7 linked regions of the Cricetulus griseus genome follow. The protein of the gene in region 1 purifies or fractionates together with the protein of each later gene. This does not show direct contact. Links are inferred from orthologs where the notes say so. Each region holds a gene or a part of one and is shown on either strand. Other genes may lie near its edges.

Region 1 (4,109 bases):
TTTGGGAGGTCTGGGTTCTATCTCTACAACAGGAAAGAAAAAAAAAATGATAATAGGAAAGAATGTTCCCCCAGGCACTTGTCTAGGGGCCCTGCGTTCTACTCCCTTCTCCCTTCAAACAAAAACAGCAGGCTGTCTCTGAAAACCTTTTCCCACCCTGTAACACATACCGTTAGGGAATATCGGCCGGGACTTTTAAATCTTGCTCGATCTTACGTGGGGCTGGGGGGGGGTGTCTCCTTTTCCCAAAGAAAAACAGGCGTGACATCATTCCAGAAGGTGTCGGGGTAAAAGCGTTGCACTGTCACTTCCGTACCGAAAAATGGCGCTCTCGTCATCTGCAAGAGTTGACACAATCCGACACCCACCTGGCACAGAGACGCATGCGCAGCAGCCAACCACAACAAAACACCCACAAGGTTCAGTTTCCCGCGCTGGAACCTTCCCAAGCATCCGCGTCAGGCATCGCGTGCCCAGACAGCGCGAGGGCCCAGGGGGACCTGTCGGTTGGGGTCCTACTTTTACATAACGCCCCCACAATGCTCTTCGCCACCCTCGACGTGGTCCCTCCCGCTCCAAGCCCCTCTTGTGGAGCCGGGAGGCCTGAGGACGCCAGGGAGCCGCGGGATGCCGGGCAGCCGCGAGACGCGCTAACACCACGGCGCCCCTCACCGCTACTCCGAGCAGGGCTCGAAGAGCAAGCAGCTCACGTGGGGTCCGCAGCAGCAGCAGCAGCAGCAACAGCAGCAGCAGCAGCAAGCAGCAGCAACACATGGAGAAGTGCAAAGGGATGAGCGGCAGAATGGCAGGCGCCACCTCAGGTTAGCGCGCGGGGCGGTGCAGCAGGTCCCCCGCCCCCGCCGCCCGGCTCGGCAGCCCAAGCCCTGCGACCTCAGCCCCGCACTCCGAGCCGCACCTCCGGGCCGCATGCCTGGTCCTCGGCGACGGTGTCAGTCCCCGGGGCGGCAGGGACGACCGGAGCGGGACGGAGCGGGCGCGCAGCGGGGACCTCAGCGGCCGCCGGCGCCGGCTCGCAGCCTGCCGAGCCCAAAGCGCGTAGGACTATATTTCCCAGGCTTCCCGGTCGGGAAGGCGGCTGTAACCTGGCTTCCGCTTCCGGTGGAGGCTCGGCTCGCCCCGCCCCCAGGCGGCTTCCGCTAGGGCCTCGCGACCCCGGAGTCATGCGCGCGGACTCTTGGGATTGGTGGTTCGCCGTCCCCGCATCGCGTCACTTTCTGCCTCTCTACGGGACTCCATTTCCCGGCGTCCCTAGGGGCAGGGGCGGTCCTCGGCGCCTGCGCGTTGCCCTCTCTCCCTCCCCACCCTCCCCAGTTCCCCTTCCCCCCTCCCCACTTCGCCTGCCGCGGTCCGCTCGGCTTCCTGCGCTGTAGCGGTCGCTGCGGTTCCTTCGAAGCTCGGCTCCCCTTCCCCGCCCCAGTCCCAGTCCCCGTCCGGCCGGTGAGTCTGCGCTCGTCCCCGCGCCGCGGCGCCGGGCTCCGCGCTCCGAGATGTGGGGGCGAGGAAGGAAGGGACCGGGTCGGCGGCCGAAGGAGGCCGGGTGGCCTGAGGAGAGGAGCGGCTGTGGGGACGCTCGTGGGTCCCGCGGGGGTGCGGGGCTCCCGCCGGCGCCGCGAGGCCCCGAGAGGCGGGCTCGGGGGGGAGGATGGACTCGGGAAGCCTCGGGACGGGCGCCAGGCGAGTGCCTCGGTGGGGCCGCGCGGGCCGCGCGCGGCCGGGGGCCGGGGGGCCGGGGGGCCGGGGCCTGGCCTCGCGCCGGGCAACACCCACAGATCGGGACCTGTCACCCCCTGGGAAGGAGTGGAGCTGGTTCTCACCACGCTGTCGGGGGGCTGAGGTAAAGAAGAGAGGCGTGGAGAGCGGTGCTTCACGGGCCGGGGCCACTCAACGCCAGTGGCCTCGGATTCCTCCGCCGTTGAGGAGACCGTGTGTGTGGGAGGAGGGAAGAGACCAAGAAACAGCCTGGTCTCCACTTAACGCCCTTCTTCCTCAGCCGACGTAAAGATGAGTAGCTCTGAGGAGGTTTCCTGGATTTCCTGGTTCTGTGGGCTCCGTGGTAATGAGTTCTTCTGTGAGGTGAGTTTAGCTGGCTTTCTGGGCCCTCTCCACGTGCCCTCGGTGTTTTCGTTGTATGTTGTCTGAGATGAGATTTCCCCCGAAGCTGACTGTGTAGCCCAGACTGTCCTTGAACTCCTGGCAATCCTAGTGCCTCAGTCTCCTGAGCGCTGGGGTTCACTCTGTGCATGGCTAACAGAGGTATCGCTGGTGACCGTCAGGAAAGTTAAAATGTTTCATGTAACATGAAAACCACAGTGTGGTAACGTAGGAAATGATCAATGCCTGTGAGAGTCTGATGTCCCAGAGCAGAGAGCAAACCCGGGTCCTTTAGAGGAGGGAGACAAGTTGAATAATGCGCTGTACCTTGTTGGCCCGGAAAGAAGAGAGCTGCGGTTTCTGTGGGAGACGGAACACCTCTGCAGAAGTGAGAATAGGAAACAAGGGGAGCCGATGCGGTCGTTTGTCTCCTGGGCCAGGTGAAAGACGGGGCTTCCCACACTAGTTTCAACCTCTTGACTCCCCTGTCCCGGTAGGTGGATGAGGACTACATCCAGGACAAGTTTAATCTGACTGGACTCAATGAGCAAGTGCCTCACTACCGGCAAGCTCTAGACATGATCTTGGACCTGGAGCCTGGTAACGTGCCTGCCCCCAGGGCCGTCGCTGCGTGTGGGGTCCATGATATGTGCACTTGTGTGTGCTTTGGTTTCTTCTTATTCTGGTCTCTGCTCGCTTGCTTCTTGAATTTTTCTCTTTTCTTTTTCGGTTTTTCCAGAAGGGTTTCTCTGGCCTTGAACTCACAGAGATTCACCTGCCTCTACCTCCCGAGTGCTGGTGTTAAATGCATGTGCCACCACTGCCCAACCGCTTCTTGAATTTCTAAATTTCCTTTTGATTCTCTAGCTCTTCTGTCTATTCCCGAGTCTCTTGCTCGCTTGTTTGTTTGTTTATGTGTTTTCTCCCCCACCTCTCCTCTCCATTCATAACCCAAACTGGACTTTACCACTTGCTCTTCCTGCCTTGGCCTCCACGTGCTGGGTTTTGTATGGCACATACACCACTGCCTGGCTTCTTCATTATTTTGATTCCCTACCTGACCCTTGCCTTCAGGGACTGGTAACATTTGTTTCCATGCTCTCCAAATGTAACTCCACTGTCTCTCACAATGCCAGTCTTCTGGTGTGTTGTGTGCTGCTGCTTTCCTCCTGCTGGTCTAGAGTGCCACCCTCTGCAATTATGTTTATGTGTTGGGAAGGGGAAGAAGCTGGCAGAGACTAGAGAGGTGTGGAGAGAGGGCAGTGCTGATGGCCTGGGTGATGGATAGGGTGTGTCAGAAACAGGTGCTGGATAAACTGTAGGAGGCCACCTTGGGGATAAGGTGGGGTACAAGTGGCCATCCCACCTTTCAGATGAAGAGCTGGAAGACAACCCCAACCAGAGTGACCTGATTGAACAGGCAGCGGAGATGCTTTATGGGTTGATCCACGCCCGATACATCCTCACCAACCGAGGCATCGCCCAAATGGTGAGGCTCTGCTCCTGCTTCTGAGGCAGTGAGACAAACAGGTGCATGAGGCAGAAGGCATGTTTCGTACCTGTCAAGAAGTCTAGCAGAGGAGACGAGGAGAAGCCCAGAGCTGGGCTGAGAATCCAATCCTCACTGAGGGTCCTACTGAAGGTATTGTTTTCAGGGAGGGAGATGAGGCCATGGATAGGGAACAGAGAGAGCAAATGGCCCTTGTGTTCTGCAGCCTGCCAACTTGAGGAAAGCAGTTGAGAAGGAAGCTTGAGGACCTGTCTTGACAAAGAAGGGCTTCTAGTTAGAGGTGGGAGGCCTGGGAGGTGGGGAAGTGAGGTGCTCTGCACACGTACTCACCAGTCCCTTCCATTTTGCACACCTCAGTTGGAAAAGTACCAGCAGGGAGACTTTGGCTACTGTCCTCGTGTGTACTGTGAGAACCAGCCAATGCTTCCCATCGGTGAGTGTTGGAGAGGGGAGAGGAGGGCACTACTTGCCAGTCAGGTTGATGTGG
Region 2 (3,280 bases), about 170 Mb from region 1:
GTACCTCCCACTTCCTCTCCTAGGTGCCCCAGCTGTGCAGTGGTATTTGGGGGTATAAACTCCATCAAGTCCCACATACAGGCGTCACACTGCGAAGTTTTCCACAAGTGCCCCATCTGCCCCATGGCCTTCAAGTCTGCACCCAGCGCCCATGCCCATCTCTACTCCCAGCATCCCAGCTTCCTCACCCAGCAAGCCAAGTGAGACCTGGGGAGGGAGCATGAAGAGGAAGGGGTGGGCTGGGGGGGTGGGGTGCATGGTAGGGCTTTGCTGTCCTATCATGATGTTTACACTGACCCTTCTGCCTCCACAGGCTGATCTATAAGTGTGCCATGTGTGACACAGTTTTCACTCACAAACCGCTCCTTTCTTCACACTTCGACCAGCACTTGTTGCCCCAGCGTGTCAGCGTCTTTAAGTGTCCATCTTGTCCTCTGCTTTTTGCCCAAAAAAGGACCATGCTGGAACATCTCAAGGTACAGGAGGAGCAAAGGACTAGGGAATAGGACCTTAACTAGCTGTGTTGACCTGAACTAGAGTCACATAACCCTCTGTCAGGGGGAGCAGAGGGAAGTGAGGACTTTGGCAAAGCCAGGCTTTCCTCCACATAGCCACTCCTCTTGTCTTCCTCTTATAGAGCACTCATCAGTCCGGACGCTTGGGGGAGGAGGCAGTTGGGAAAGGGGCTGGAGGTGCCCTTCTGACCCCCAAGACTGAGCCTGAGGAGCTGGCTGTGTCTCGGGCAGAGGCAGCCCCTGCTACTGAGGAATCTTCCTCATCCTCCGAAGAGGAGCTGCCCAGCTCCCCTGAGCCTCCCCGCCCAACCAAACGACCCCGACGGGACCTGGGAAGCAAAGGCATCAAAGGTGGGGGTGGGGGGCCTGGGGGCTGGACCTGTGGCCTTTGTCATTCCTGGTTTCCTGAGCGCGATGATTATGTGGCTCACATGAAGAAAGAACATGGCAAGGTGAGCTAGGCTTCCTCTGGGAAAGGTAGGCTGGAGGGTTGACCTGTGTGACTGAAATTTCCCACTCTCTGCTCTCTAGTCAGTGAAAAAGTTCCCCTGTCGCCTGTGTGAGCGTTCCTTCTGCTCTGCCCCCAGCCTGAGACGCCATGTGAGGGTCAACCATGAGGGAATCAAGAGAGTTTACCCATGCAGGTAACCCTGACTCATTCCTCTTCCTACCTGCGAGATGACCCTTACTCCCAGAGTACCTGTCACCTGCCTCCTGCTTGAGGGATCCAAAGGTTGAGGCCTGCCTCTGCTCTGGCAGCCTTCCTTCTCTCAGGAGCTATCGGCCTTAGTCTTTTCCTCTGGTGCTACCCTGCCCACTTTACCTCTGCTAGGTATTGCACAGAGGGAAAGCGCACCTTCAGTAGTCGTCTGATCCTGGAGAAGCATGTCCAAGTCCGGCATGGCTTGCCCCTTGGGACCCAGTCCCCTTCTGGCAGAGGAGGCACTCTGGTGCGAGGCTCTGGTGGCAGAGCCCAGGTAAGAAGAGGCTCTCCTTACATTATGTTGTGGGAGCGAGAAACCAGTGAGCCTCTGGTTGCTCAGGAAGCCAGGCTGAAGGTGAGGCCCAGTTTCTTTCACTTTTCTCCAGGGGCCAGGACGGAAACGCCGCCAGTCTTCTGACTCATGCAGTGAGGAGCCTGACAGCACAACACCACCAGCCAAGTCCCTGAGGGGTGGCCCTGGGTCAGGAGGCCACGGTCCTCTTCGATATAGGAGCAGTGGCTCAGTGGAACAGAGCATTGTGGTGGGCCTGAGGGTGGATGGTGGCACGCAGCAGTGCCTCGACTGTGGCTTGTGCTTTGCATCCCCTGGCTCCTTGAGCCGCCACCGGTTCATTAGCCACAAGAAGAGAAGGGCGGGGGGTAAAGCCAGTGCTCTGGGGATGGCGGATGGGGAAGAAGAAGCTCCTCCGTTACGCTCTGACCCAGAGGGTGGAGATTCACCTTTGCCTGTTTCTGGAGGCCCTCTGACTTGCAAGGTCTGTGGCAAGAGCTGTGATAGCCCTCTGAATCTCAAGACCCATTTCCGCACGCATGGCATGGCATTCATCAGGGCCCGACAGGGAGGCAGTGGGGACAACTAGGTCCCAGGCCTAGGATTAGCCAGTTCTCTTCCCAGGAACTTGGGTCTTTCACTGCTGCTGTCAACTCCCTGGGCTGGGAAGTTTAACACTTATTTTGATTCTTTTTGCTCCCAAGGGAAAGGCTTTTGAGGATTCTAGTGACTTGCACCCCACTCCCTCTTGGGTTTGGTCCCTGGGTCCTACTTAAGTGGGTTCTCCTTCCTTTCTGAATCCAACACTAATGTTACACAGGGGAGACCTAAGGATGTACAGGGTCTAGCTTCTACCCCTCTGCTAGATTGCTTCCTCTGGGCTGGGTTCTGGCCTAGTATTCCCTCCTCTAACACTCATTGGCACTAACACCCCGCCCCAATCCCTGCAGTGCCTTCCATTTGTCTTTTCCCCCAGAAATCTAGGGGTGGGGGGTTGGTGGGGATGAGTCCTGTCAAATGGGGTCCAGGAAGAGGAGAGGACAGGCTCTCAGGAATCCTTTATTCTTGTAGTAATAATACTAACAGTGAGAGAAACAAGAGGGAGAAAACCAGACCATTAAAACTGCTTGTGGTTTAATCCCCATTCAGGCTTTTCTTTTTATGTGAGTTGGACAATGTGTACTGCTAGGGAGGGGGTGAGTCAGAACTGGGGAAGCCCTTCTCAGGGAAGAGGCAGTACTGACCAAGACAGATGGAAAAGTAATCTTCATCTTGTGTGTTTGGTGCCTTTTGTATGCTGGATTTAGCCTCTTCTTCCATCCACCCCCAGAAGCAACTCAGACAAGACACAGATGGCTAACTAAGGACTTTATTTCAAACAAAAATTAAAAATAAAAAAATTGAGAGCTATTTCCCTGGGTGTCAGGAAAGGGTCAGGGTAAGAAATTCCCCATGGCTAGGCCAATACCCTCAAATACATTAGAGGGATTGTGGCAATTCCCTTCCTTAGCCCCTTGATGGGGAACCTCAGCAAGTGCAGGACCCTATGGCAGAACCCACCTGCCAGGGGTTATGTGGGCTAGGGGTCAGCCCCTGGGTGGGGCTAGAGTTGGGCAGCAGCATGGTCAGACATAGAATTACATCCTAAGTACCAAGAGCCCACTCTTCCTCTCATCTTGCTGGGACCCAGAGGAAACAAGACAGTTTGTAGAACCTCTGAGACTCCATCCTCACGTTCATCACCTCTCTCCTCTGGAGGGCAGTGAGTCC
Region 3 (3,500 bases), on another chromosome or scaffold:
ATGTTGTATACATAATAAATAAATAAAATCTTTAAAAAGAAAAAGAAACAGTATTTGGTATTAGTTTTATATTTCACTTATGTGTCAATTAAAAAATAAACAGAGCTGGAGTTTATTGCTCAAGTTGGCAAAGTGCTTGTGGAGGACTTGAGATTGTTCCCCAGAACAATATGGGAGAAACACCTCGGGTGCAATGGCATGCTTGTAATTCCAGCGCTGGGGAGGAGGAAGATAGCTAAGCTCAGGCCAGGAGAGACTCTGTCTCAAAAAATGTGGACAGTGCCTGAAGAATGACACCTGAGATAGTCTTCTGGCTTCTACTCATGCACACACTTATGAGTGCCCACACACGTGTACCTGCGCACACACACTTATACAAAACTAAATTTAGAATAGAAAAATATCCCAAGCCCAACAAACAGTATTTATAACGGCTTTTTAAAAGCCTTTTAAGTCAGCAGAGAATAGCTAGGTAATAGATGATACTTCTAAGATGTACTCCTATTAAAAAAAAAATAGTTGCTGTTGGATTTTAAGATTGATACAACCTTAAGATTGCTTGGTATGGTTAGAGAAAAATTTAGCTTGGTAACAGCTTAAATTGTATATATTTGCTTCTGTGGTTTGATGACACTCTTTTTCTTATCTTTTTAGGAAACCAGCATAAGCAGTCTAGGAACCGAGAGGATAAGCCATATCATCAGTGACCCCCGGCAGAAAGAGTAAGTACCTAAGTGCCTACTGCTGTCCTAGCCTGGTCCTTGGAGAAGGAGGTAGAGAGGGTTTCTATAAAGCAATCTTTCTATTAGACTTGAGAACCGAAAGAGGGCATTTTAGAGATTGGTGCTTGCTAACAGTTAAGATGGGTAAAATCAGGCTGGCAAGATGGCTCATGGCTAAAAGTGCTTGCCACCTGTTGTTGCATGTTTGATGACCAGAGTTTAATCCCAGAGCCAGAAGGAAAGAACCAACTCCATAGAGTTGTCCTCTGACCCTCACAAGTATGCTATGACATACACAATAATAAAAAAGTAAAATTTTAAGATGGCTAAAGTCTTAAATCATGACAGTGATTTTTCTTTTTCTTTCTAGAGTAGTTTTTTGTTGTTGTTGTTGCCTGTTATGTTTCTAGGTGTTATATTAATATCCACCACTAAGAGACTATATTTTAAATGCATTTTTCTCTCTTAATTTTTTTAAAATGGTTGTTCCAAATGCTTCTGTTCTCCTTCAGGCCTCTTTAAGGAGAAATCTTTTTGTCCCTGTTACCATGGTGAATGCAGTAGGAATCATGAATGGAGCTGCCTTTCTCATAACAGCTTCATTTCCTAAACAGTTGGCTTTGCTGTGTGCTTTGTCTTCTTATGGGTCTTCCATGGCTAAAATTTGAATATCTGCTGAATAAATACATATATATTGGGACTAGGGAGATGGTTCAGTGGATCAAGCATAAGGATTAGAGTTTGGATCCCCAGCACCCACATAAAGAAGCAGGTGGTATGGTAGGCCTGCCTGTAATATCAGCCCTTGACAAGTAGATCCCAGGGCAAGCTGACCAGCAGGGAGCTCTAGGTTCAGTGAGAGACCTTGCCTCAATAAATGAAGTGGAGAGTGAGCTTGGAAGACATCACAATGACCTCTGACCTCCACACACGTGTGTACCTGTGACCTTACATTCCTCCATTCACACACATACATGCATACATATCAACTATGTATGTTAAAAAAAAAAAAGCAGCCCACATTTGTATATGCTAAAGAAATTGTATAGTTTATTCCTTAATCATTATGGTCAGTACCCAAGAGCAGTCCTATACATAAACCTAGTCTGATTTTGGAGTTTGAGTCCTTTTCTCGATGCACAGCTGAGATAAGGCTGTGTCTTAGTTGGCTCTTCCTTGTCTAGTTTTCTGCTTTCCACTTTTGCCTTCTCCACTGCAGTTACTTCAGGGAGACTGTTGTTCACACACAGCTGGCGTCCTTCTCCTTCAGCTGCATCGCTCCCAGTTCCTTCTTTGTCTTCACTCAGTATCCCACCTGTGATCGTCTTCCCTCTTACTTTTCCTATCACTTCTTTTATTGTTTTCTTTCCTGTTATTCTCTCTTCAGTTTCTGCTTACCATCAGCTGGGAAAAGAGAACGAAAGCAGGTAAGATAATTTTGGGGGGTCATCTTTTATCATTCAGTTTCCTTTTCTTTAGAAAGAATAAAACATTGGCTTCTGATTTTCCTCACATTTTTGCTTGTGCACATGAGGTGACTAAGATCACTCTCCATCACTCTTGACTTTTTTGAGAGCTGAGTTCCAAGACTGCTCTGTGCTCATCTGAAAGAACTGTAGCCAATTCCCTCCTTAGGTTCAGCTGCAGTTGTCAGCTTCTTATTTGTAACACATTTCAAGGGAAGCCTGGTTTTATTTTAGCTTTTCCCCCCTAAGGTTTATTTTTACTTATGTGTCCATGTACATAGGTGCATGTGAGCTCAGATGCCTGCAGAGGCCATAGGGTATCATATGTGCTGGAGCTGGGGATACAGACATTTGGGAGCTGCCTGACATGCTGATGAGAACTGAACTTGAGTCGTCTGGAAGAGCAGTATTTGCTCTTAACCATTGAACCCATTGTCTTATTGTTTCAATTGATTAAAAATGTAAAGTGAGTCTCATGTCTCTGGGTTAGTTTGCCATTCGAATCCTGTGCTGTGACTGTCTGAGCATAGGAGGCAGAAGGCTGAGCTCCTTTTGGGGAAATGATCAAGACTTTGGAGCTTTTTTCTCTTAATCTTTTCCTTGACTCCCCTTTAGGGATGCCTTAATACATTTTGGCTTTGAGGAGGATCCATGATTTAAAAGTAACTCACAGTGGTTGTTGTTAGGTTTATAGATGTTTGAAATTCTTTCAGTTTAGAGGTAAGGGTTGCCTAACCTTAGTTCTGAGCTGTGAAGTTCATAGAGACTGATGGGCAAACCTTCTCAGGCTTCCTTTTGCTCCATGGTTGACTGGTTGTTTATTTTGGGGACTACTTAGCATTTTATTATGTTACACAGTTTATATTTGCAAAGTTCACTGGGAAGTTGCTGTTTCACAATAATTAGAACAGTGGAAGATAAAACCAGTGTGTGTTTATGAGATGATTTTAGATTACGTATTTGAAGTTATATATTATAATGTATGTTAGAAAAATGTAATTACTATGTCAGACTTACCTGGTGGAAATAGGACAAAACTGAGTGTAAGTAATTGGTGTAAAGAAAATTCTGGATGAACAGTTCATATAGTTGGCAGATAAAGAAAGGGTCATGAAGGTCGCATGCGAGAGATTTGGGAACTGTTAAGCTAGAGTGTGGATTGTATTTGCTTCAGAGCATGCAAAGGCAGGATTTATGGCCATCTTTTGCGCTACTTCTGCTATGTACAAGTGAGGAACAACGCATCATGGGTTTTAACTATTTTCCTGAAGTTGCTGAGCTATGTGTATTAGCTAAGTTTCTGTTCTTTTAA
Region 4 (3,500 bases), on another chromosome or scaffold:
ATGTAGTAAGCTGACGGCCAGCCAAAGCTACACAATAAGATCCTGCCTCAAAAACAAAAAGAAATTCCACAAAAAAGGTAATTGTGGCTTGAAACTTCTGTAGGATATATTTTAATTTGGAGAACAGAATGAAAACAAAACTTTAAAAAGTTAAAAAGAAAAAGACATGTTCAAACTAGTTAGTTACTTCACATAAACTTACAAAGCAGGATAATGGAAATTTTTATTTTGCCAGTCATTAAAAAAATGCAAAGCAGGGCGGTGGTGGCAGAGGCAGGCAGATCTTTATGAGTTCAAGGCCAGCCTGGTCTTCAAACAGACAGTCTCCAAACCTACAGGAAAACCTTGTCTTGAAAAATCCAAAAAAAAAAAAAAAAATCATTTCAGTAGATAAGAATATGAGGGCTTTTGTTTTGTTTCCCCCTTGGAGACAAGTCGAGAACTGTTTGCAGGAATCTGTTTTCTCATTCCACATGTCCACATGTAGCCTTGGGGATTGAACTCAAGTTGTCAGGCTTGGCAGCAAGCATCTTTACCCACTGAGACATCTTGCTGGTTCCATAGACATTTTCTATATAGGCTAACTATTAAACATCAAGCCTGTAGTCATATGATTTCTGAAAAAATTAACCAGCTAAGTCTTTATCATGCCAAAAGATGTGAGACAATGTAAATGAAAAAATTAAGCTGTCTTCTAATAAAACTTTATTTACAGAAACTGACAATCAGATGATTAAAATATCAAATCCTGAATTGTCAAAAGAAAAAGTTTACTTAGTCTTATTATAAACATGGGGAAACTACACTATTAGAAGGTTAATAAGACTTTGTTAAGACTGGATCTCCACTGGGTGTTGGTGGCTCACACCTAAAGGCGTGATTAAAATCCCTGGTCTACAAGGACTAGTTCCAGGACAGCCTCAAAAGCCACTGAGAAACCCTGTCTCCAAAATAACAAAAAAAAAAAAAAAAAAAAAAAAAAAAAAAGTGTGTGTGTGTGTGTGTGTGTGTGTGTGTGAGAGAGAGAGAGAGAGAGAGAGAGAGAGAGAGAGAGAGAGAGAGAGAGAGAGAGTGTCTCATGTGGCCCAAGATGGTCTTGAATAGAATTCCGATCCTCTTCTACTTTTCACCTCCCAAGAATGACACCATGCCTGGTCCTTATGCAATGCATGCTAGGGAAGCACCCTACCCTCTATGCCAATTTTTAAGACTTTTTGTTTGTTGGTTTTTTGAAACAGGGTTTCCCTGGGTAGCCATAGCTGTCCTGGAACTTGCTCTGTAGATCAGGCTGGACTTGAACTCATAGAGATCCACTTGCCTCTGCTCCCAAGTGCTGGGATTAAAGGCATCTGTCCCCATTGCCTGACCAGTTTTAGAAACTTCTATTGCTATTCTTTCCTCTTGTAAATAACATGATAAATCAAATTAGATATTGGACATCTTTCAATCTTGTTCTTCAGGATCAATGTTGGTATCAATCATTACGGAGAAACAGTTATTTGCTTGAAGACACACTGTCAACAGCTACAATGCAGAGTAGGACACAATAAAGTTATTTAATGGTTGATAACTCTCCAGCTGGAGATAAAGCTCAGCCAGTAATAGAACACTTCTCTAACAGGTGCAAGGTGCCATGGATTCAATGCCCATCATCAAAACAACAAAAAGGTAATGTCCTACTACACTAAGGATTTACAATTGCACTGCTTTGTTTTCCTGTGTCCACAACCCCTACTAGGTGTAAAGGTGTACATCTGTTACCTTAGCACTGTGTGGCTGAGGAAGGTGGTTTATGAATTAAAGGACAATCTGGTCTGTACAGTGAAACCTTGTTTCAAAACATGAAAGATTTCATATATAAAAGACCAATTTCATATATAAAAGACCAATGGAACATGAAGGAAAGCAAGCACAATTTCCTTAAACCTACGTTGGGTGCTGCATCATCCTTCTCCTCTGAACTTCCATCCTCTGCATCACTTCATGAGGGTGCAGTCTCTGGGCAGGAGGTGCCGGGGCTGGGATATGGTGTGAAATTGGCTGGTGAGCTGGAGGAAGATGCTGTGGGATGGGTGCAGCTGTACTGCCTAAATGAGTTGGGGGCGGGGGCGCCACAGGGTGAGATGCTGCATGTGAAGATATCTGAGAATGGAAAGCATGTACAGGATGAGGAATAACATAATCCACTTGAGGGGGAGGCTGAGTCTGAGGAGCAGCAGTTCCATGAGAGTGAGGGCAACCCGAGGCTTGATGGTGCAGCGTTCTTGTCAAGGATGCATCTGCAAGAAAAGTGTTTTCTGTCAATACATATAAATATACTTCATTCACAGTGTTACAACCTAAAACAACCTATTATGAGACTGTACCAAAATTTCTGGAAAAGCACCCCAATAAAAACTGGTAAACGCGATGGGCCCTGGCTGAGCAGGGTAGGCCTATGTGTGTGTGTGGCATACACCTTTAATCTCAGCAAAGGAGGCAGACCAGGCAGATCTCTGAATGAGTTCAAGGCTAGCCTCATCTACAGACCAGACCAGGCTACAAAGACAGACCCTGTTAAAAAACAAAAATCACCAGGCATTGGTGGCGCATGCCTTTAATCCCAGCACTCGATTGGTGGCGCATGCCTTTAATCCCAGCACTCGGGAGGCAGAGGCAGGCGGATCTCTGTGAGTTTGAGGCCAGCCTGGTCTCCAGAGCAAGTGCCAGGATAGGCTCCAAAGCTACACAGAGAAACCCTGTCTCGAAAAAACAAACAAACAAAAAAGGAACAGTACACATTCTTAACCACCACTCCAGCAACCTAAATTTTTTGTTTGTTTTTCAAGACAGGGTTTCTTTGCATGGGCCTGGCTGTGCTAGAACTTGCTCTGCAGACCAGGCTAACCTCTAACTCAGAGATCCACCTGCCTCTGATCCCTGAGTGCTAGGATTAAAGATGTGCACCACCAACACCTGCCTTAAACTTTTTAAGTAAATGTGAAGGGCTGGAGAGATGGTTCAGTGGCTGAGACATTACCTTTCCAGCACTACATTCACAAGTTTTACAAAGTCAAAAAGTTCTGTTTTAGAATGGGTCCACTTAACTCTTCAGAAAGCATTCTATGCTGCCATATAGGCCACCTACTCTTTATTCCCATTCCTTTTCAGTTACTTTTAAAAATTGTTTTGGTTTGATTTCTCATCACAAGGTCTCACTAGGTAGCCCAGACTGCCCTCAAACCTTGCAAGTGTTGGGATTACAGGCATGTGCCACCATATCCAGCAGTTTTTGTTCTTTTTGAAGCAAAGTTTTGCTCTGAAGCCCAGGCTGACCTTAACCTCTCAATTACCCTGCCTCTAAACTCTAAGTACTGGTTTTTCCAGCATGAACCACCATATCCATCTTCTTTTGGAAGTTTATGGATGTTCTTACCAAGTTAGAAAAATCTGTTTAAATATATAGACGCTTATCAATTATACATAAAATAAAATTTACAATAATTCCTTTTGAAATTGCT
Region 5 (4,142 bases), about 140 Mb from region 1:
TCAGTCAGATTGAATTATTTTGAATTCTGAAGGTTTATAGCTAAGATGATCCTATTCTGACACCAAGGAAGGAGGAAAGTTAAGTCCCATAGGAAAATGCCAAGATGTGATTATAGTTGGCCCAATGACTCATATACTAGAAAATGTCCTTTTCAGAGTCCTTTAAAGAATTCTTTATTTTGAGTGTTTCATTAAAAAAACACCATGAAAAAACTCAGCCACATATCTAAATACAAATACAAGCTCAGAACATACTAAACACCAGTTGGAAATCTCCCCCTTCCTCTACTTTCTTCACGAAACACTTTCAAACAAAAGAAATTATATCTGGGAACACACTGAGAAAAGATGAGGCTGAAAAGTTATGGAGAAAAAAAGCTATTAAAAAATCAGCGCAGCAATTTTTGACGACTAAACTCACTTTAGTATCTGTCTATCTAGTTACTACCTTCACTGCCACCAACTTATAGATTCCACCAATAAAGACTATGTATGATACTCACTTGGACTAAGCAACATCCAGCTCCCAAAACAATTTGTCTTTTCATAGCTAACTCCTTTGAAACTCATCACAATTCCTCAGAAACTAATCTACACCATGAATATCCATCATCGTGTCCTAGAATCACCTGTAGAACAGGGTCCTGCAACAAACTTTGGTACTGCCATAAAGGCATAGATAGATAGGCCCACATAGTTACCAGATTATCACTACACTTCAAAGATACCGTTTCAGACTGGATTTTCTTACAAGATCAAGTAAACAGCCCTACCTGAAGGCAACTCAATCAATTGGTTATTTTTCTAACCCACTCACTGAGACTGTATCTGACCAAAACAGAATACCTGTTCAATCCCTTTGACTTCAAACTTCAAACTTTATCATCCTCCAGTCCTTTCAGATCCGGTATTATTCGATATATCGTAGTTCAATGTTGAGAAGTACTCTAACAAAAGCCAACCTCAAATGATGAAGAAACTGGGACTCCAAGCAGAATAACAACCTACACAGAACTTGGCCACAATATTAACTTGAACTACAGCACTTTCACATCCAGCCTTCGGTTTTCCAGAGAAGGGAGGGGAAAAATAACTTACAGAATACACTCCCACTTGAGCCAACCGTACTCCCTTTCTTGTCTAAGCCAAGGGACTGGCTTCACAGCACTGCTAGGATTGTCCACAAATGCAACTGCCTCTACAGTTAGATAGCTGGTTAATTGAGGGTTTTCTGAAAGTTTAAGTTTCAGTGTTTCTATGTGAATTTCAACACCTAATGTCAGTTTTCTTTTGCATCCATACTGACTCGAGAAAAAAAAAGATGTTTTGACTTGATGATTGGTGTACAACAGCAGTAAGTAGCAAGAAATAATATGTTCAATAGGCCAATCTTACCTTTTTCCTCTTAACTGGCGAAGGTGGTGGAATACATTAATCACATCTCTTATTCTTCTTGGTGCTTCTTCAATTTTTGATGCAAGATTAATACAGGCCATGGCAACAATCTGAAAGAACCCAGGAGGGGACAAAACTTATAACAAAAGTCAAACTGGAAACAACCCGGCCCAAAGTCTAACAAACTTATTATATATGTGTATATTTGGTTTTTCGATACAGGGTTTCTCTATGTAGCTTTGTAGACCAGGCTGGCCTCAAACTCCCAGATATTCGCCTGCCTCAGCCTCCCAAGTGCTGGGATTAAAGGCGTGGGTCACCACTGCTAGGCTTTAACGAACTTATTTTTAAAGAGAAACTATCTCTATAGGGTACAACGGGTCTTTTGGCGCGAGATGAAACCAAGGGCGACATTTTTAGAGCACGGGGCTTACCAGCTATATATGTTTTTATTACTCAACTGCTCTAATTTTGGACCCGAATCAAGCCAAGAGTTGTGCCTGGAAATGCAGCTCTTGATAACAGAGCACGTGGGCTCAGGATCCATTTTCTAGTTCTTGAAACACGTTCTAAGGGCCCCGTTTCCTTATGGGTAGGAACTAGGTACAAAGGCCTAGGCTAACCACTCCCTTTCTGGAAAAGCTGGTTACTACCCCTTCCTTCCCGCTTCCGGATGAAGCAATCCCTTTCTCGCCCGCCTCCGCCGACTTACCTCGAAACTGTGTTTGACGAAAGACTTGGAGTAGAAAAACCGATGGAACAACACCTGCCCCGTTGCCATCGCCACCTGCAGACAAGAGAGGAGAACGGAAGCGCCGGGGTCAGGCGGGCCCGCACCAGGCGCCGCCGCCATTTTGTGCGGCCGCTCTCTTCCCTTGCCGGCCCTGCCTCTCCCGCCCTCCCTTCCCCGCGCGCCGCCCGAGCTCCCGCCGCCGCCCGGCTCAGGCTCCCGAGAGAGCCGGCCTCGGAGGAGATGGCGGTCACCACCCGGGCCTCTCACCTGAGGCAACCGGAGGAGAATGCCGGCGGCCTGGATGAGCTCGCAGCCCAAGATGCGCAGGTCCGTCTCGCTGGGCAGGTCGAGGCCGTCCTGCATGGACGGGGTAGGCGAGAGCCTCTCCTCCGGAATCAGAGAGTGGTCGATGGTTAGCGACACCTCCGAGTACAGGCGGTCGCCGATCAAGATCCCTCCGGTCGTAGTCGTCGTCGTGGTCGTCGTGCCCGAGCTGGAGCCGCCCGCGCTCGGGGCGGCGGACGAAGCGGAGGCGGCGGCAGCGGTCGAGGTCGGGTGAGGCCCGGACGCCATAGTTCCCAGCGAGCTGCACGCACGGCCGACGCAGCCGGAACCCAAAGCGAGACTAACCAGCGTCCTCGGCGCGACGGATACTCCCGTGACTGCCGGCTTCCAGGCCGCTGCACGCAGTGTGCGCTTCCGCCCTGACGTAACCACGCCCCGCCCCGCCCCACCCGGCCCCACCCGGCCACGGCGCGCGCCAACTAGTTCCTCCAGGCTGCGGCCGGGAGGAGATGGGCGTGGAGGTCCGCAGGCGGCTCCAGGCTACGGGTTTGGTAATCTCTTTAGGCACCCGATAATCTGCAGTGTTGCCTGGTGGGTCGGCTCCGTAGACCCCTGCGCGCCCTGCGCCCTGCGCCCGGCCGGCGGCGTCAGCGGTGTGTAAAATGACTCTGAACTGGGCGGCTCGACAGTTTCAGAAATAAGGGAGGTGAAGCGCGCCGGGTTCCGGGAAGCGCCGAGCGCGCGTGGGTGTCGGGGTGTAGCCGTGGAAACGTGTGCTGGCCCTGACCTCACCTCGCCGGGTTTGTAGTAATCTGGAAAATCCCTGGCTCCAAAAATAGATGTAGGGTGAAGACAAATTACGCCGGCGACTTCATTACACCAGGGAGTCTAATCCCAAATGGTTCCCTTACATAGTGGTGGTGGTGGGGACAAGGTCTTGTTTATTACACTATGCGTTTGTCAATGTAAAAAACACAGCTCTCGGCCGGGCGGTGGTGGCGCACGCGGGGAGGCAGGGTCTGGCGGATCTCTGTGATTTCGAAGCCAGCCTGGTCTACAGAGCGAGTTCCAGGACAGGCTCCAAAGCCACAGAGAAACCCTCTCTCGAAAGACCAAAAAACAAACAACAACAAAAAAACACAGCTCTCTTCTTTCATGGAATTTGGAGTAACCTAAATTTGTGTTCTCCGGGCCATGGATCAAAAGGGCTCCAGGATAAACCATTTCTTTATTTCCTTTAGGATAAGACCTGTTTTTATGTTCACACTAAAAAGTCCAAGTGGCTGAGGCTGACCTTGGAACAGTTGATCTTCCTGCCTCCATCTTTATAGCCTCTTTGGCCGCCCAGTGGTCTTTTATTCCAGTTCAATCCTCTGAGATACTATCTAGAGAGAAAAAAAAAAAAAAAAACAAACAAACTTTGTCTTAGTACACAGCTTCAGAATTGTTACTTTGTTTTGTTACAGCTTAATTTCTTGACGAAAAGTGCCTTAACCTTGCGCTTGTAGAACAGGAGGTATTTAGATACATCTTACTATTTGTCAGTGCTGTTACCGAAGCAAGATTTGGGGAGAGGCAGGGGGGTCTTTGAGACAAGGTTTCTCTGTGTAGCCTTGGCTGCCCTGGAACTCAGTCTGTAGACCACGCTGGTTTGAACTCATAAGAGATTCACCTGCCTCTGCCTCCTGAGTGCTGGGATTAAAGGCGGGTAGCGCCACCCTCTGTAGAA
Region 6 (2,335 bases), on another chromosome or scaffold:
TTAATAACCACACCAGCCCTGGTCAGACACCAGCACTTTGCCCCCCAGAAACCAGGGCTTTGGACCCTGCAGCAGCTGCAGCCTCAGCTGAGTTTGATAATGCTGAATCTGAGGCTGATTTCAGTATCCATTTCAACAGGTTCAACCCTGATGGGGAAGAGGAAGACGTTGTAGTGCATGAGTGACATTCCCTTGTCAGAGACATTATGTGTGGAGTGACTTGGGGTATTGGAAGCAGCATGATGTGGATGTACAAAACAAGAGAGCTTGGTCGGCAACAATCTTGTTATCTTTGTCTCCTTGATTTATTTATTTATTTTCACCTCTAATGTGTTATACCAGTCTTTTCAAACCACTCAAACAACCACTTGAAGCACACTTAGCAAAAGGCAGATTGTGTCAGCTTTGCCTTTTGTGGTTTCATGGTTTTCAAATTGAATCATATCACTGTATCCTTTCCCTTCATAGATCTTTGTGTTTGTTTGTTTTGAGCCATGCTGTGACCTACACACTAAAATAGCCAACATTTCTGAGCCCCTGTGTCTCCTGTGCCAAGCTACTTCCTGAGATGAACTTCTCATCAGCTGTACAGATTGTTAAACCATTCAATTTGCTTCTTAATAATAGGGTTTATATTATTACTCACTGTCAGTGGACTCAGTGACACCATGCTCTGTAGAGTAAAGCAAACCCTCCACAGCAATCATCCTGTTTCCTAAGATTTTTCCAACATAGTGTGATTTCTATAACTGTTGCTAAGTAACTTGTCTTGGGGTTTATGGAAATTAACTATTATGTTTGCACTAAGATTTACTGGGAGTGATAGATGGACATATCTATATATCATTAAGGACTGACTTGTCTTTCTGTACATAGGAAGTTAACAATACTGTATTTGTTTTAACCCCACAGTGTTTTACTCCACTTTTCAAAAAGGTCCATTTGGCACTTTTATCTTTTTTCCTTCCTTTCCTCTCTCCCTCCTTCCCTTTCTTTCTTTTATTTTCTTTTGTAAGGAAATCAGATTTTTGTCTCTCCTTTTAGATGAAATGACTAGAAAGGTCAAACTTGACAGATAGTTTAGGTGGAGTATATTTTTAAAATTAAGAACATGTATATTTATCCTGTGTTACCAAGTTTTTATGTGGCAGTTGGGGAGGGGGAGCCCTCTGAAATGATCATGAGGTTAATTTTTCTTCATTAGGAGATGTGGAGAATCAGTAATTGTGAGAGTAGTTGATAGTTCCACTCCCAGTCATTGAATTGCTTCTGTGTTTCCCTGTAGGTTCATAGTAACCCCGTGTCAGTCTTACACATTTGTAAGGACCCTGCAAGACAGCAACGACGACTAAGGCTTTGGGCTAATAGCTACTGTAAAGAAAGCCTGTGAAAAATACCTTCTTTAAACTTTGTTTTTGTTACTGTTTTGTTTTCTTTCCAGTAAGCTCACATTTCAATAAGTTTTTAAATAAAGGAATTATTTTTTTGTGTTTCCAGAACACTATAATTTGGGTGAATCTTAATTCTTTTAAATATTAATAGGCCTGGATTTGCTTCAATGGCCCCATTAGTCTATAAAGAGTAAATTGCAACTTTTATGATATGGTCTTTGATATATTAGCAATAACTTGTGCTACATTTGTTTTAAGGGAAAGTTAAATGTATACTTCAGGATTTTTCAGGATCTAAGAAATCCTGTGCTGTTGGATCAGTTAATAAAACTGCAAAATCTTTTTGTAAACATGTAAAAGCAAGTCTGCTGTATAATGGATCTCCTTGTATTTTTTTTTTCTTTAAATTAAAAAGGAAGAAAAGGAACCGTTCTCCTTGTAAAGCTAAATCCACAATTCTGTGAAGTAAGGCTTCAAAAGAGTTCCAAAAAATATAAGGGGAGTGAGATGCTTTGAAGAAACAAACAAAACATATAAACAGGGTCGGTCCATTTGAAGAAAAATTATGCAAAATAATAACCATTGTTCCCTCCTTTAGTTAATGTTTGGTACTGAGTCTGTCCATATGGAAGTACATGAGAAGGAATCTAAGAAAGTATTAAAATGTATGCTTACATTATTGTTTGTTTACAGTTTTGTTCAATTATAAACATTTGGCCTTTTACTATGTTATTTTTATTTTGTATGAATACATTCTCCTTATTTATTTTTGTTACATTTATTACGTTATTTTGTTATGCATTTACAACTCCATTTTTAAATAAAGTGTTTCTGGAACTTTATGCAGTGATACAGAATTCATATCTTCTACCATCTGATAGACAGTACATTCATCAATTTACCAAACAACTGTTTACAGAGAATTTCCTAATGCTCTAGCAAAG
Region 7 (3,500 bases), on another chromosome or scaffold:
CTGGAAATACACCAATCCGTGTGCCAGGGCATAGCTCACGATAGAGTGCTTCCCTAGATGTGCTCAAAGCCCTAGGTCCAATCCTCAGAATGCATAAACTGGGCACACCTGTAATCCCAGGACCAGGGAGATGGAGGCAGGAGGATCAGAAATACAAGGTCATCCTCAGCTACACAGATAGTTCGAGACCCTGGTGTGATATCAGAAAAACCAGTCACATGAACATATCACATAAAAAGGAAGTCCCTCACCTGGGACTATGAAAAGAAGAATCCCAAGACCAAAATGTGGCTGGCCTGCTACCTAGTCACTGGGTCACAGGCAACAACCTCATCCAGGAGAATTGTCAGCAGAGGACTCCTGCCTCTGACCCAGGCTCCCACACAGCCTCTCCTTCAGTGACATTCAGCCTACTTCAGACTGAGCCCATAAACAGCCTGTTACCTGGCCCTGCATCTGCTCTATGCCTTCAGGACAACCTCAGCAGTTCGCCTCTTTAACCCTTTCTTGGGGCTGGAGAGATGGCTCAGAGGTTAAGAGCACTGACTGCTCTTCCAGAGGTCCTGAGTTCAATTCCCAGCAACCACATGGTGGCCACAACCATCAGTTATGAGATCTGGTGCCCTCTTCTGATGTGCAGATATACACGGAAGCAGAATGTTGTACACATAATAAATAAATAAATAAATAAAAACCCTTTCTTAACATTTTTGTATATCGTGTGGCATGTGGACCAGTAATTAAAGAGTTGATATTCATAATTAAGATGGGAATAAAGGGGAGGTGAGATGGCTTCATAAATAAAGGCACTTGCGTCAGGCATGGTAGCACACGCCTTTAATCCCAGCACTTGGGAGGCAGAGGCAGGCGGATCTCTGTGAGTTCGAGGCCAGGCTGGTCTACAGAGCCAGTTCCAGGACAGCCTGGGCTACACAGAGAGACCTTGTCTCAATAAACCAAAAGCCAGGACATGCATGTGGAGGCCAGAGGACAACTTGTCGGGTTCTCTCCTTCCACTATGTGTGTCCCATGAAGTGAGTTCAGGTTGTCAGCCTTGGTGGCAAATGCCTTTTCTGGCTCTTCCTTCCTTCCACCACTACACAAAATTAAGTTTTTCAAAAAGATTAGAATAAAAGAACCTATGGATATGAGGTTTTAATGCCAGCACTCAAAAGGCAGAGGCAGACAGATCTCTGAGTTCGAAGCCAACCTGGTCTACAAATCGAGTTCTAGGATAGCCAGGACTACACAGAGAAACCCTGTCTCGAAAAAACAAAAAAGAAAGAAAAAAAAAAACTTGACTGCCAACAGCCAGTTATCAAATGAAACTGGATTATCAGACAATCAAACTGATGCAGCTTATGAGTTTACTGTTACTCATATTAATTCTGACATTATGGAGAAGTGCAAAGAAGCCCATCTATTTCTGACATAGCACACAATAATCAGTAAGAGGCCGGGACGTAGAGACCCCACTTTCCTGCACCTACCCTCACTGGGCAGCTCCCCAAGAGCAAAGGCTCTGACCCTGAAGTAGGCAGCCTCCCAGCCTACCTCCTCCCCTTTCTCCTTACAGGCCTCCACTTGGCACAACTGTCAGTTCCTGAACTTGTAATGGCCATGACATCAAAACACAAAGGAGCTGGGCCTGGAGAGACGGCTCAGTGGATAAGAGCCCTGGCTGCTGCTCTTCCAGAGGACCCATGTGGACGCTTCCATTCCCAGCATCCACATGCTTCGTAATTCCAATCTGATGCCTTCTGCTTTCCACAGACACTGCACACACATAGTACACAGACAAATGAAGATAAATAAACAAATATTCCTGAATGAAGAAACACTTTCCTTCAGATTTTTCACTTCTGGGAGAGAGCGCCTGCCCTTTTATATATGTTTAGACTAATGTAACATAGTTAACTAATCTCTACCCAGCATCCATTTTTCCTGTCTTTTTTTCTTTAGCACCATAATCCTAACATAACACCATCATACAAGCACTTCCTTATAGATGATTGTGTCCAATAGCCAGCAGCTGTCAGGGGGAGCCCAGAGAAGCACCTAGAAGGGAAGGTGTAAGCAGCTGACAAATGCCCTCCCTGCCCTTCTTCCTCCTGCTTCTTGCCTGGGAAGCAGTCTAGGTAGCAAGAGCCCTTTGGAGCCACAAAGCAACCCTGGGGATGGATGTCACATGCTAAGAATGGAGAAACAAATCAGAAAAAAAAAAAAAAAGCTTGGATTTCCAAAGACAACCCAGTCCAGACTTCTTTCACGTGAGGAGCTTCTCCCCATTATACACCTACCCACTGTACGTGCACATATATACGTGTGTGTGTGTGTGTGTGTGTGTGTGTGTGTGTGTGTGTGTGTCTGTGCAGTAGCCTCTAAAGAGCTTTCCAAAGAAAGGGCAGAAGGAAGTGCCATGCCTCAAATACCTTGGGGCTTCTGCAGAGTGACAAGTGAGTGCTCTCCCAGCACCCAGTCAAAGCTTGGGCTGTCCCAGAAACTCCCTGAAGGAAGTGGACCCTGCTCATCTGCATCTTGAGCTCTACTCTTGCTCACACCTCTGCCTAGGGTCTGGGAGAGGAAGACTCTGGTCTGAGAGCAACCCAGGAGGCCCTCCTAGGCTGGGATTCCAATATGGAGGCAGAGTGCCTGGCCATAAATGGATGTTCTTGTTGCCATATCAGACAGGTGCCAAATCAAATGCCTATGTGTAAATAGAAGAAGGCGTCAGTTAGGAAAAGCCATGCAGTGAGGTCTAATGTGAAGGCTCCATGCCAGTTCCTGTATTCTCAGAGAGCTGCCTGGTGAGAGTAGTCTGAGGACAGCGGGGTCTCCACATTCTGCTCTTTGACCCCTTATTGTGTGTAACATCAGAAAAGCATGGATACATCTGCGCTAACCATGCTGCAGCCCAGCCTACAGAGGTGTAGCAAATGAGAGGAGGTCATAGGTTAAAAGCCTCACCTGGAAAAAGGGGTGATTCTTGACTTCCTGCGCACCCTGGGGACCCGCGCCCAACCTCTTCTTAGGGTCTTTGCACAGCAGCCGCTGTAGCAGGTCCTGTGCCACAGGCCCAATCCGGAGGGGGAAGGGAGGGGAGCACTTCAAGATCCGTCTGGGAGGATGGGTGGGGGTGTCAGGGGCAGCAAGCCCCCTCCCAGCCCAGCCCAGGCAGGCCGTATAGCCCTCAGCTGCCCTCCATGACCTGAACAACTTACCGAGACACCTCGGCCTGAGTGTTCCTCTCTCCCTCCAATGTGAAGGGCGAGGCCCCTGTCAGCAGCTCGAAGAGCAGGATGCCCAGGCTCCACCAGTCCACAGCCTATGGGGTAAGGCCAGAGTGAAGGCCTTGTGTGCTCAGCCTTACCCTGCCTTCTTCACCCAGATAACCCACCTTGCCGTGTCCAGCCTTGCTTCGGATGATTTCGGGGGCCATGTACTCGATTGTGCCACAGAAGGAGAAGGTCCGCTCTTTCTGAGAAGCAGAGAGGACCCAT

What was found.
Region 2: the proteins of Csnk2b (region 1) and Znf687 purify together in Homo sapiens (co-immunoprecipitation; 3 studies listed by BioGRID and IntAct, with this or other methods). This does not show direct contact. The link is inferred for Cricetulus griseus from reciprocal best matches to the Homo sapiens genes CSNK2B and ZNF687.
Region 3: the proteins of Csnk2b (region 1) and Gpatch2l purify together in Homo sapiens (co-immunoprecipitation; 3 studies listed by BioGRID and IntAct, with this or other methods). This does not show direct contact. The link is inferred for Cricetulus griseus from reciprocal best matches to the Homo sapiens genes CSNK2B and GPATCH2L.
Region 4: the proteins of Csnk2b (region 1) and Rnf111 purify together in Homo sapiens (co-immunoprecipitation; 3 studies listed by BioGRID and IntAct, with this or other methods). This does not show direct contact. The link is inferred for Cricetulus griseus from reciprocal best matches to the Homo sapiens genes CSNK2B and RNF111.
Region 5: the proteins of Csnk2b (region 1) and Ccnl1 purify together in Homo sapiens (co-immunoprecipitation; 3 studies listed by BioGRID and IntAct, with this or other methods). This does not show direct contact. The link is inferred for Cricetulus griseus from reciprocal best matches to the Homo sapiens genes CSNK2B and CCNL1.
Region 6: the proteins of Csnk2b (region 1) and Cep170 purify together in Homo sapiens (affinity purification with mass spectrometry; 3 studies listed by BioGRID and IntAct, with this or other methods). This does not show direct contact. The link is inferred for Cricetulus griseus from reciprocal best matches to the Homo sapiens genes CSNK2B and CEP170.
Region 7: the proteins of Csnk2b (region 1) and Rps6ka4 purify together in Homo sapiens (affinity purification with mass spectrometry; 3 studies listed by BioGRID and IntAct, with this or other methods). This does not show direct contact. The link is inferred for Cricetulus griseus from reciprocal best matches to the Homo sapiens genes CSNK2B and RPS6KA4.

Annotation. Positions count from the first base shown.
Region 1 is NW_023276806.1:231,642,975-231,647,083, reverse strand, and holds the start of Csnk2b (casein kinase II subunit beta), read left to right. Parts: upstream 1-1,309; 5' UTR 1,310-1,458; intron 1,459-2,011; 5' UTR 2,012-2,022; coding exon 2,023-2,094; intron 2,095-2,609; coding exon 2,610-2,712; intron 2,713-3,485; coding exon 3,486-3,601; intron 3,602-3,979; coding exon 3,980-4,055; intron 4,056-4,109. UniProt on the Homo sapiens protein: Regulatory subunit of casein kinase II/CK2.
Region 2 is NW_023276806.1:61,493,693-61,496,972, forward strand, and holds the end of Znf687 (zinc finger protein 687), read left to right. Parts: intron 1-23; coding exon 24-200; intron 201-313; coding exon 314-476; intron 477-637; coding exon 638-967; intron 968-1,046; coding exon 1,047-1,159; intron 1,160-1,347; coding exon 1,348-1,492; intron 1,493-1,604; coding exon 1,605-2,099; 3' UTR 2,100-2,780; downstream 2,781-3,280. UniProt on the Homo sapiens protein: May be involved in transcriptional regulation.
Region 3 is NC_048598.1:117,541,193-117,544,692, reverse strand, and holds part of Gpatch2l (G patch domain-containing protein 2-like), read left to right. Parts: intron 1-654; coding exon 655-722; intron 723-2,109; coding exon 2,110-2,149; intron 2,150-3,500.
Region 4 is NC_048597.1:181,987,843-181,991,342, forward strand, and holds part of Rnf111 (E3 ubiquitin-protein ligase Arkadia), read right to left. Parts: intron 2,280-3,500; coding exon 1,931-2,279; intron 1-1,930. UniProt on the Homo sapiens protein: E3 ubiquitin-protein ligase. Required for mesoderm patterning during embryonic development. Acts as an enhancer of the transcriptional responses of the SMAD2/SMAD3 effectors, which are activated downstream of BMP.
Region 5 is NW_023276806.1:86,983,830-86,987,971, reverse strand, and holds the start of Ccnl1 (cyclin-L1), read right to left. Parts: upstream 2,801-4,142; 5' UTR 2,702-2,800; coding exon 2,396-2,701; intron 2,183-2,395; coding exon 2,108-2,182; intron 1,506-2,107; coding exon 1,396-1,505; intron 1-1,395. UniProt on the Homo sapiens protein: Involved in pre-mRNA splicing. Functions in association with cyclin-dependent kinases (CDKs). Inhibited by the CDK-specific inhibitor CDKN1A/p21. May play a role in the regulation of RNA polymerase II (pol II).
Region 6 is NC_048598.1:17,059,910-17,062,244, forward strand, and holds the end of Cep170 (centrosomal protein of 170 kDa), read left to right. Parts: coding exon 1-185; 3' UTR 186-1,835; downstream 1,836-2,335.
Region 7 is NC_048596.1:52,599,328-52,602,827, reverse strand, and holds part of Rps6ka4 (ribosomal protein S6 kinase alpha-4), read right to left. Parts: intron 3,479-3,500; coding exon 3,398-3,478; intron 3,326-3,397; coding exon 3,222-3,325; intron 3,119-3,221; coding exon 2,968-3,118; intron 1-2,967. UniProt on the Homo sapiens protein: Serine/threonine-protein kinase that is required for the mitogen or stress-induced phosphorylation of the transcription factors CREB1 and ATF1 and for the regulation of the transcription factor RELA, and that contributes to gene activation by histone phosphorylation and functions in the regulation of inflammatory genes.